Linked DNA regions of Oryzias latipes. The protein of the gene in region 2 interacts with the protein of the main gene of each other region in a pairwise test. Links are inferred from orthologs where the notes say so. Each region holds a gene or a part of one and is shown on either strand. Other genes may lie near its edges.

What was found.
Region 1: the proteins of zinc finger and BTB domain-containing protein 26-like (region 2) and sumo1 interact in binary tests that used the Homo sapiens proteins (3 or more experiments, as listed by UniProt). The two-hybrid records come from large-scale screens. The link is inferred for Oryzias latipes from reciprocal best matches to the Homo sapiens genes ZBTB26 and SUMO1.
Region 3: the proteins of zinc finger and BTB domain-containing protein 26-like (region 2) and pbk interact in a two-hybrid assay, tested with the Homo sapiens proteins (2 studies listed by BioGRID and IntAct). The two-hybrid records come from large-scale screens. The link is inferred for Oryzias latipes from reciprocal best matches to the Homo sapiens genes ZBTB26 and PBK.

What each region holds. Positions count from the first base shown.
Region 1 is NC_019860.2:9,899,752-9,903,586, reverse strand, and holds sumo1 (small ubiquitin-related modifier 1), read left to right. Parts: upstream 1-1,473; 5' UTR 1,474-1,494; coding exon 1,495-1,506; intron 1,507-1,880; coding exon 1,881-1,955; intron 1,956-2,207; coding exon 2,208-2,285; intron 2,286-3,097; coding exon 3,098-3,169; intron 3,170-3,245; coding exon 3,246-3,314; 3' UTR 3,315-3,335; downstream 3,336-3,835. UniProt on the Homo sapiens protein: Ubiquitin-like protein that can be covalently attached to proteins as a monomer or a lysine-linked polymer.
Region 2 is NC_019870.2:15,290,255-15,294,252, reverse strand, and holds the start of zinc finger and BTB domain-containing protein 26-like, read right to left. Parts: upstream 2,801-3,998; 5' UTR 620-2,800; intron 426-619; 5' UTR 422-425; coding exon 119-421; intron 1-118. UniProt on the Homo sapiens protein: May be involved in transcriptional regulation.
Region 3 is NC_019882.2:249,394-253,532, reverse strand, and holds the start of pbk (lymphokine-activated killer T-cell-originated protein kinase), read right to left. Parts: upstream 2,801-4,139; 5' UTR 2,615-2,800; coding exon 2,475-2,614; intron 777-2,474; coding exon 637-776; intron 557-636; coding exon 387-556; intron 325-386; coding exon 195-324; intron 1-194. UniProt on the Homo sapiens protein: Phosphorylates MAP kinase p38. Seems to be active only in mitosis. May also play a role in the activation of lymphoid cells.

The DNA of each region.
Region 1 (3,835 bases), on a different chromosome or scaffold from region 2:
TCAAAGTTAGAATATTGAAGATTACATCAAATCAAACTTTATTTATATAGCTCTTTTCCTACAAAAGCACAACCGAACGTGCTTTGCACCAATACAAAATAAATAAATAATATAAAAACAAACACGAAAACTATATATACATTTAAAAAACGCCTCTCTCACCCTCCGCGGGTGGTTTCTCCTCCAAGCTCGGGTCCTCTACCAGAGGCCTGGGAGCTTGAGGGTCCTGCAGTATCTTAGCTGTTCCTAGCACTGCGCTTTTCTGGACTGAGAGGTCTGAGGTCTTTCCAGGGATCTGTTGTAGCCACTCCTCCAGCTTGGGGGTTACTGCCCCGAGTGCTCCAATTACCACAGGCACCACTGTCACATTCACTTTCCATGCTTTCTCCAGTTCTTCTCTGAGTCCCTGGTATTTCTCCAGTTTCTCATGTTCCTTCTTCCTGATGTTCCCATCGCTTGGCACTGCCACATCCACCACAACGGCTTTCCTCTGTTCTTTATCCACCACTACAATGTCTGGTTGGTTCGCCATTACCATCCTATCAGTCTGGATCTGGAAGTCCCACAGGATTTTTGCCCTCTCATTCTCTACCACCTTCGGAGGTGTTTCCCATTTTGACCTTGGGGTTTCCAGTCCATATTCTGCACACATGTTCCTGTATATTATTCCAGCTGCTTGATTGTGGTGCTCCATGTATGCTTTCCCTGCCAGCATCTTACACCCTGCAGTTATGTGCTGGATTGTTTCAGGCGCTTATTTGCACAGCCTACACCTTGGGTCTTGTCTGGTGTGGTAGATCTGAGCCTCTATTGCTCTGGTGCTCAGGGCTTGTTCCTGAGCTGCCAGGAGGAGCGCATCAGTGCTGTCCTGTAGGCCAGCCCTCTCTAGCCATTGGTAGGACTTCTTGATATCAGCCACTTCAGTTATGGTCCGGTGGTACGTCCCATGCAGGGGTTTGTCTTCCCATGAGGATCTGTCCTCCAGCACTGTATCCTCTGCTCTCCATTGCCTGAGACATTCACTGAGCACACTGTCGGCTGTCGACTGTTTCATCCTCTCTCTCTCTCTCTCTCTCTCTCTCTCTCTCTCTCTCTCTCTCTCTCTCTCTCTCTCTCTCTCTCTCTCTCTATATATATATAGTTATTTATTAAATTATCATAAAATGCTATTTTTTAAGCCCATGTTAAAAATATATAAATTTAATCTAAACATATATATTGCATTTGAATATTGAACAGGAGTAAAGACTTCATAATACTGGAAAAGGCAAGGTTTTTGTATGAGTGTGTGTGTGTGTGTGCGCGCGCGCGCTTTTCTTATGGAGACAATCCGCTACAAAACAAATTCCTTCACGCGACTTTTATTTTGAACAGCCCTGCGTCACTTCCGTTTGATGTCGCATTCCTCACAACATAAAGCAAGAGCCACCGCTAAAAGCTAACGCTACACCTTGAAGGGATTCCCTCCCCCTCCCGCACACAGTCAGGATAAACATGTCAGACACGGTAAGAAAAAGAACGTTGAAGAGTTCGAATGATTTTCTGTCAACACTTTACTAAGAAATCGATAATGTGTTTGTTATGGACGCTGCCTCGTACGTGATTATCTAACAACATGCTAACCGTTAGCTGTTCTAGCTGCAGGCCTCTGACTGAACTTAGCGATTTTTTTTTACCCTCCACGTGAGCTTTTGTGTAGTTTTTTGAGATTTTTTTTTGGGGGGGGGGTCAGAACTGGTGCTGGCGGGACCGAACCCACACTCGTGTCTATGGTGGATGTTCTCTGTGTTCGTGGAACCCGCGGAGTAAACAGACGGGCCTTCCTCGAAAGCGTGCTAGCGGTCGCATCATGTAGCAATGTTTTGTGATGTTTCTGTCAGGAGACGAAACCTTCCAATCAGGACGGAGGCGACAAGAAAGATGGAGAGTACATCAAACTAAAAGTGATCGGTCAGGTAGGTTGTTTTTGTGTCTCTGCTTTTGTTGTCACTACTGTCTGCATTTAGAAATAAACCGTATTCTACTCCATTTCAAATAAAGTTATGGCACGTGGTGGTGTCTCTATTATTGTTTATAGAAGGCTATTATTTTTGGTCAATGATTCTGCCAATTCTTTATCATTTACAGATGTATTCGTTTTAATGCTGGAAGTTGTTATTGTTTTTGAGCTGCATCACCTTTTTGTGTGTGTCCGTTTCTGCCCACAGGACAGCAGTGAAATCCACTTCAAGGTGAAAATGACCACACATCTAAAGAAGCTGAAAGAGTCTTACAGCCAGAGACAGGTATGAAGAGGAAGACGCATCGCCACTTTTCCAATGACAGCCTTCGCAGATCCATCCAAATGCAGTTCCTTATGGTAGAACACGCCATTATTTAAAAAAAAGATAACTCTGATCATCTTTTGATCTATTGCAAAAAATAAAAAGTTCCTAGTGATTTTTATTTATTTTTTTGACACGCTCTCCCGCTAGCTTACTAAGACTCCCAAGCTAATATTAGCAGTGCAACAAAAATGGCGAGCAATATCGGAGCTATCCAGCTGCACAGTTTGGATCCGGATGCTCGGACGAGGAAAATAAAAAAAAGTTACACGAGTCTATTTGTCTGCAAGGGAGCCTTGTGGCTTGCCGTAGTAGCTTTGGAATCATACCTGCAACCTTTTTCCAACTAAGTTTAATTTTGTCTGCTCCTGATTCACAACGATTTTAAATATAAAAAAAAAATAACCCAATTTTAAATGTAATTTTAAGCTTAATTTTCTTTAACCCTTGTGCTATCCTAGGCCCTTTAACATTAGGAGTTGGGTCATCTAGACCCACTAGACAGTGCGCTTAACCTTTCTTCTTCAATGATTTGTGATCTTCACTGGTGTCCATGGATTACATGAAATCTTTCCACTTTTGTCATGGTAGGGAGAACACGTCAATGTAAGGGTGGGGTCATCTAAGATAGCATAAGGGTTACACCTAAAAGCTCGTCTATGTAATCGTTACTCGTGCTCCTAGCGCCTCGCGGCGGCGTTCAAGGAGAGCTGATTGAAGGAAAAATAAAAATCTCCTAATGGTCTAACAGCAGAGGATGACGTTTCTTTCAGGGAGTCCTGGCGAGCACGCTACGGTTTCTTTTTGAGGGACAGAGAATCGCAGATAACCAAACCCCAAAAGAGGTAAGCGACACTCGCAAGAGCGAAAACCAAGCACTAGTGGTCACTAAGGTTTGTGTTTTCTTCTGTTTTTTTATAGCTGGGCATGGAGGATGAGGACGTCATCGAAGTTTATCAAGAACAGACCGGCGGACTTTGGAATCATTAAAGCCACAATTTCTGATGTTTTTTTTTCTTCTTTTTTTTCCCCTTTTATTCATGTTTTTTATCATTTGGTTTTGTATGTATGTATGTATTTCTGTTAAGTTTCAAACCATCTGAATCAAAAAAGCAAAAGGACTCAATCAGGGCTTCCATGTGTGCGGTCGGGGAGGCGGACAGACCGAGGACTCGAACCTGTGGCTCTGCCGTCGGAGGACACTCTAAGATTTTTACCGGCAACCATTTCGCTTTCGTGTTTTAAATTTTTATTTTATCAACCTTGCTGGAATGATGTGCTTTTGCAGGAAAATGGTTTTTAGGAGCTTCTTCCTCCCCAAAATGTTTTTTAAAATTGTCTCATAGAGGAAATATGTCAGATGGCATTCTGGGTAAGTGCGGTTACAGAAACCGTAAAAAGAAACCGATCAGAAGCATACCAGAGCGGCATGCTTCTGATCTTTCCATCTATTCAAAACAAAAAAAGTTGTTTTCCTGGAACGGACCAAAGCGTCTGTCCAAATGAAGGGG
Region 2 (3,998 bases):
ATACGAAAGGACAAACAATATAAATGGGTGGTAGTTACAAGACTAAAGAGATATTGCTAAAAAGTTGCTGTAAGACAACCAGAAATTGCATGGGAACCGTGAAGATCGACTGTTGCACCTCCAAGATTCCGGTGTAGCAGGACAAGAACAATGACTCTGCAACTCTCCCACTGGAAACCACACCCACACTCAGCTCTGCCTGGCCTTCATGGAGCAGGAATTGATCGCGAAGGAAGTCTGAAGATGCTGCAAGCACCACTCTGTGACCGTGGAAATGGACAGGCAGGCCATCCTTTGGAGTCCCGACGTGGAGAGTTATGTCACAGAATTGATGTTCCTCTCTTAAAACATTCATTTTGCTAAGGATGGAGTCTCCGTAGGTGGGGAAACTGAAGTGCAGGGTATCAGAGGAGGTTGCCATGGTTCTTTGGGATGTCAAGATATCAACGAAAAGGGTCGATTTACCTTTATGACATGTTGACACTTTAATTTAGACTAAGGTTTTTCTTGATGTAAATATTGAGCTATAGCACGCTTTGACATGCAAAACAAAAATTCCAGCATTCAAAATTAAAAATAATTTTTACTCTTTATATCCATGAATAGGATGCAGACTTACCATCAAATGTGGAACCATCCAGATCCAATTTTCCCAAAGAAGAATCCCTTTTTCTTTTTTTTTTCTTTTTCAAATAAGTAGGTATCTGGTATTCAACACTGCAGTCCCCCAGTACAAGACAGTTATTCCATTAGTATCGACTAGTAGAGGAACTATAATGTTTCATACAGTAGGAGCCAGTATGAAATGCTGCAGGGAATGGAGCAGAGAATGTGGAACTGATCAGCAAAAAAAGATGCAATGCTAAAACAAACCACGTGATGGCGGTATAGCCTCTTCCCCTGAATGTGAGACAGCGGTCATTCTCACAAATGAAAGAGACAGAGATGACTGGGTTTCAATTCTTAGGGAAACCGCACAAACTTTGCCCAGTGACAAGCATGGAAATGATTTTTACTTATCATAAGGTAGAGAGGGGAATTCAAATGAAACATTTTTTTTCAATGTATGTACCCTAATCAATGCAATGACCAGTACAATCCTTTATGCTTTACATTAAAGGCTGCTTGTCGATTGATCTATGTGGATGTCAAATGCTGCATTTTAATTTGGGATCTTTTTTTTTTAAATTTCCTTAAAAAAGGACGCCTTTCTTTACGCAGAACTGGCAGAAGGAAAATAAAGTCCCAACTGACTGGTCTTAGTGTTTTGTGGATAGATAAAAACTAACTAACATTTATGATTATATTGTGCAAAATATCTGCCTTTTTTGTTTTGTTTTTAGTCTTACAGGGTTTTGAAGGAATAAAAAAGTTGAAGACAGTGACTGGAGCTTTGCCTGCAAACAGAAAAAAACCTCTTTCTGAACATGTGAAGCCTTTATGGCTAATCGTAAAATGCACTTCAGATTCCAGTGGGGATTTGATTCAATTATTGAAGCTACTGGTCCATATCTGCAGGCATACACTGTGTGCATAAGCATTAGAGAGGTAACATTTTGACCATATAAATATTGTAAGCACAATTGCCAACATCAAGCCATGTAAACTTGAATGCATATTGGAATTAATGCATATCAACTGATACGCATTTATGTAAGGAGAGAGGGCGTGGCAGAGGAAGATCAAAATCCTACATAAGGACATGCAGGTAAAATGGGCCTTAAGAGAGATTTAACTGATTCTGACAGATCAGAAAATGTAAAAAGTCTTTAAGAGGGATGAAGAATCCAAGATACTGGGGGTGTGACCGCAGAACTAAGTGTTATGTAGCAAATTGTCAACGAGGACGCAAGAAACGTGTGAAACTTCCAAAGATTTGAGAAGAATCAAGCGTGCAGCTGGCAGGAAGCCTTTATTCACCCGTGCTGCTATGTTCCACAACTGCAACCGACCTGGAGTATCAAGAAGTCCGAGATGTTCCGTTCTCAGGGTCATGGCTAAAGTAAGAAAAGCTGAAACCTGACCACCTCTCAACAGGATGCACAAGTTGAAATGTCAAGAATGGGCCAAGAAATATCTAAAGACAGACTTTTCAAAGGTTTTGTGGACTGATGAGATGAGAGTGACTCTTGATGGACCAGATAGATGAACCCGTAGTTGGATCAGTAATGGACACAGAGCTCCACTTCGACTTAGACGCCAGCAAGGTGGAGGTGGGGGGCTGGTGTGGGCAGGTATTATTAAAAATAAGCTAGTTGGACCTTTTCAAATTGAAAATGGACTTAAGATCAACTCTCAGACCTACTGCCAATTTATGGAAGTCTCTTTCTTCAAGCAGTGGTACAGGAAACAGTCTGCATCTTTCAAGAAGACACTCGTTTTTATGCAAGACATGAAAACCTCATGACATGGCCCCCTTCTTCACCTGACCTAACCCCTATTGAGAATTTTTGGGCCTTTTTTAAGTGGGTACACCTCTCTAAACCGTGGCTGGACAAAAAGTTGATCCCGAGCAGATCAAGAAACTGACAGACTCCATGAATGGAAGGCTTGTGTCTGTCATTGAAAAAAAGGCAGCTACATTGGTCACTGAGGTTTTCCTTTTCACATTTCAGAAAGGTTTATATGTATTTTTTTCTTAGTTTAGTTGTCATTCTAACTTTAAGAGGTTAAAATAAACAAGTGAGATGGGAAAATCTTTGTTTTTCATTGAGTTGCATAATAATTCTGCACACTGTTAGTTGCCTAATGATGGAGTAAATTTAGTTATCCTTTAAGAAAGCCATAACTTCACTTTTACTACTTGAATATGTAAGTTTAAGGGTTTGTTCAATTCAATTCAATTTTATTTGTATAGCCCAAAATCACAACAACAGTCGTCTCGATGGGCTTCGAAGTAAAACATGAAATCAAAAGGATCACGAATACAAAGAGTTCAATAGAAAAATACTAAAATGAACTAACAAACTGACTAAGCTATACTGGCATCCCTGCCCTTAGACCCCCCTTCGCGGTAAGGAAAAACTCCCAAAAAAAACGGATTCCGGAAAAAACGAAGAAACCTCAGGGGTGCCCACATGAAGGAGGGATCCTCCCCCAGGACGGACAGGCGATTTACCAGAAATCTTAGAGAAGAATTAACTTATCTAAATCTACAACTACATATATAAAAGTCCAGCAGACGAGCTTCATCCTGCCGTGGTTGTGGGGACAGTCAAAGGCGCGAGTCGAGCCGGAGACAGGAACCACAGCCAGGTGCAGGTACAGAGCAGAGACGAGCCAGAGATGAGCCAGAGGCAGGATCCACAGCCAGGTGTAGGAGCAGGAGCAAAGGCGAGGTAAACGATCAGGAACTGGAGCACGGATGAGCCAACTGGAGTCTGGAAGCACTCCCACTCCCCAGGAGGGGAGAGGAAAAGAGGGACAATACATGAATCGCACTGCACCAAACAGAGGGATGGAGAACTAAATGATAAATTATGATCAAGAATAGAGGAGAGGAAGGGTAGAAATAAAAACAGGAAAGAGGACAGAACCCCAGTGCACCATAGTTACCCCAGCTTCAACTTCTAGCAGCCTTTTAAAAGAAATAGTTATTATTAAGTTTAATTTAAACAAATTAACATTAAGTTAAATAATCTCTGAATACTAACTAGTCTGACAATAAGCCTGTCCAAAGAGGAATGTTTTCAGTCTAGCTTTGAATGTAGAAACTGAGTCGGCCTCTCTTACATGAGCTGGGAGTTTATTCCATAAGACAGGGGCTTGGTGGCTAAACGCTCTACCTCCAACCGTACTTTTACTAATTCTAGGAACCACAAGCAGTCCTGCATTTTGGGAGCGAAGTGTTCTGATTGGATGGTAAGGGACTATGAGGTCCTTAATATAGGACGGGGCCATTCCATGTAAGGCCTTATAGGTTAACAGGAGGATCTTGAACTTGATCCTGGAATCAACTGGGAGCCAATGGAGCGAAACTAACACAGGAGTGATGTGAT
Region 3 (4,139 bases), on a different chromosome or scaffold from region 2:
ATGTTTTTACTGTTTCAACAAAGGTGCTCCGTCATTTCGTATGAAGCTCCGCCCATTCACTCCAGAAACGTGGAGGCCATAAAACAAGTATTTGTTCACAGTGGTGAGTTTACATAACCTGCTTCCACACGGACTAGCTAGCTGCCGAAGATCAACTTGAGTCCTACTGAACATGCTCAGACTGGACAGCTCACCTGTCATGTTCTCGTCTAATTGCAGAGACACGCCCACATCGCAGATCTTCACGCTCTCAAAGTCTCCTTTAATGACCACGTTGCAGGACTTCATGTCGCCGTGCAGCAGCTTCTTCTCGTTGTGGAGGTACTGAAACAGGGAAATCGTGAAGTTCTGCAGGAGCACGCAGAAAAAAGGAGGCGGGGTCTCACCTGCAGGCCGCGCGCCACATGCAGGGCCACCTTCTCGATGTTGGCGGCGGGGAAGGCCTTGAGACCCTGCTCCCTCCTCTGCTCGATGAGGTCGTTGAGTGACCGCTCCCCGCCGTACTCCATCACCAAACACTCGGAGCCGTCTTTGGCGGTGGCCACGGCGCGAAAACCTGCAGAGGGAACAGACCGTGCAGGAGCATCCTGTCGTCAGACCCCCCCCCCCACGTTTGACCGTCTATCGCCTCCTTACCGATGATGTTGGGATGGTCGATTCCTCGCAGGAGGCGGGCCTCTTCCTTCAGACGGTTCTGGTAAACGGCAGCCTGTTTGGATTCACATTTGCTGTTGATCTTCTTCACTGCCCACGGAGACGCGTTCATCTGCTCCTCTCTGGGGGAGGACGGGACGTTCAGAGTCTTTACTGATCCACAGCCACACCCATAACCCCTAGAATTCCCTAAAAGCCATCCATCCATCAGAAAAACATCAGAAGCTGTGACCTTTTCCTGTGCCTGAGTGAAAGCGTGGGTTTGAGAGCCGGACAAGCCGTTCTTGGCTGGACCGAAAGCCTCTGCCCCACCCATCATGACGCATCAAGCTCTTGATCAACCAACAGATTATCATCAACGCCACACTGAAGGGAAACCGCTGTCAAGACTTCAGGAGGTTCTAGAGCATCCGTCTGTCCCCGACAAACATCTGACAGCAGACGCTTCCAGACGTTCTGAAGCACAAAGAAGTGATGAGAAAAGTGGACGCAGTGGTTGAAGAAGCAGACATCAGTGAAACCAAAAGACATCCAGCAGAACCATCAGTTCAGATCTGACAGTGAGACTAAAGTTCACCCGTCTGGAAAAGTCTGTCCTGAAGGACTGTCAGCCAAAAAAAACAACGTGGAGGCAAGTCAAGTCTGAAGGAAAACTGGAACTGCGGTGCCGTCAGAGGATGATCAGGACCGACGAGGCCAACGGTGAAATAACTGCAGAAGAAGACGGTTTGTCTTCTGGGTCCACAGGAGAAGACTGTTTCTTCTTCTGGGTCCACAGAAGAAGACGGTTTCTTCTTCTGGGTCCACAGAAGAAGACGGTTTGTCTTCAGGGTCCACAGAAGAAGACGGTTTGTCTTCTGGGTCCACAGGAGAAGACGGTTTCTACTTCTGGGTCCACAGGAGAAGACTGTTTCTTCTTCTGGGTCCACAGAAGAAGACGGTTTGTCTTCTGGATCCACAGGAGAAGACGGTTTGTCTTCTGGGTCCACAGGAGAAGACGGTTTGTCTTCTGGGTCCACAGGAGAAGACGGTTTCTTCTTCTGGGTCCACAGAAGAAGACGGTTTGTCTTCAGGGTCCACAGAAGAAGACGGTTTGTCTTCTGGGTCCACAGGAGAAGACGGTTTCTACTTCTGGGTCCACAGGAGAAGACGGTTTCTTCTTCTGGGTCCACAGAAGAAGACGGTTTGTCTTCTGGATCCACAGGAAAATACGGTTTGTCTTCTGGGTCTGGGATCACATGACGGCAGAAGGATGAGACAAAGCCTGTGTCCAGAGAAGCAGGATGTTTGGACCCGCAGAGTTCCTGTCAGGTCCTACATGAACTGATGAGGACTAATTTGGATTTGAATTCTGTTTCTCTTTTGTTCACACATTTTTATAGAGATTCTGTAGCATAATTCAAAATACAAGCCAAAACCTCAAGAAGAATTGATTTTTCATTTTTTTTATTTTTTAGTTAAAAAATGCAGCTTCATTTAGAAAATTTGTGGTTTTGGTTTTTATTTTTAATTATGCTACAGAATCGCTTCCATACTTTTTGTTGATTGATGAAAATAATGAATCCTTGTTTTCTCCCTGATCCACTAAACTCCACTTAAAAGATTTACTGACTGATTATTTGACTTAAACATAACTTTTAGATGTTTCCTTCAGATATTTTAACATGTAATGTTACATTCTATTTACATGTAATGACGTTCATCCTCTGAAGCAGGTCTAAGGAAGAACATGTTTCTATCTTCCTGACCCACTATGTCCCGGTCCCGGCTACCGTTGGACGAAGGCGGGGTACACCCCGGACAGGTACCGGAACACACACCTGTTCATCAGGTAGACGCTGACTCCGGTACCGCAGCCCAACTTCTTCATGAAGGGCGATGCCGGGATGGTGACGGGGGTTCCCCCCGAACTCCTGGTCCGGACGGTTTTTGGAGTTTTAAATCCGCCATTGGACGCCATTCTGTCGGTAAACGTTCTACCAGACCGGACTCTCAGCCTCTACCGGAAACCGGGGTCGGTTTTCTGGTAAAGAGGATGTCAGTGAAACGTTTCTACTAAAGAAAATCTCCGTTTTCAAATGTTCTTACTGGTTCCGCGGAGTAAACAAACCACCCGCCAAAACTTTCTTTTCCGGTTTGGTCCGGGCTCTTCTTCCGGTTGAGTCTTGTTGCCGATGCGTATTACCGCCACCTAGTGGTGGGGGTCGTATTGTCATTTAATCTATGAATCCCCTTAATCTATGGCAGGGGTCGGGAACCTTTTTTGTCGAGAGAGAGCCATAAACGCCACATATTTTTAAATGTAATTTTGAAAGAGCAATACAATAATGTAGTGTCCTTTTCCCACACTGAGGCACGGAGACTTAACCTCTTTTAAGGTTCTTTATTCTGGTTACTGCAGACCGCAGCAAACGCCGAACAATTAATTCAGCAACTCCTGAATCTCTCCCGCCGACACGAGAGCGCTTCTCCCAACTTTATATTCCCCTGCTCCCGCTCCAGTCCTCCCATTTCCCTTATTCGGCCCATAGCTGAACCCCATTGGTCCAAACTACCTGACAACAGGCTGAGCGACAGAACTGAGAGCCAATCAGATCTCTGCTTGATGCGTTTAATGAACTCCAGAACGTTTAACGCGGCCCAACAGCCAAGTTAAACTCAGTCCGCGACAATATGTTTAAAACTAAATATACAAGTGAATGTGTGCATTTGATTTAATTTCAACATTTTTAAAGTACAATAAGTCTGTGGATTCTTTTTAATAACATCGTTATGCTGTTGCTAATAAACGATGAGTATTTCTCTTGGTAGTTTTGCTGATGGTCTAGTCTGGTTGATACGTGGTGAGTTTCTGCTTCATGCAGGCGTTGAGACTTTAAACGTGATCGTAGGTCTGAATGTTCTGTAGATGTGAGACAGACTGATCACATGCAGACGGGGAGACAAACACACACTCACACACTGCAGTGAGTGACGGGCAGCGGGTTTTACGTTTTTACAATCCCAGCGCGATTCACCTGCTGCCCTCACAACCCCCCCACCCTCTGCTTTCTTCCTCACACATCCCGTCCCCGCAACTGCGCGCTCTTTCTCAGAGACGGGAGCGCGCAGTTTTGGGCACGGCAATTCACAGGTTTCCGGGTGCACCCGGAAACCTGTGAATTGAATTGAAATAATAGATAATAGTAACTGATAGCGCTGGCGCTGAATTTTTCTCTCCAAGCACCGCTACTACTGCGCGCCTCTGGCATCGCATCGCGCCCGAGAAGGACTGGTCTAATGAAAAAAAAAAAAACTATAATTAAAGATTTGTCTGCGAGCCACATGTGACCATCAAAAGAGTCATATATGGATCGCGAGCCATAGGTTCCCGACCCCTGGTCTATGGTAATCATTGTCTTCCTCAAGAAAGATGTCATTTATCCCTTGTGCTGTCTTAGATGACCCCTCCCTTCCATTGACGTGTTCTCCCTACCATGACAAAG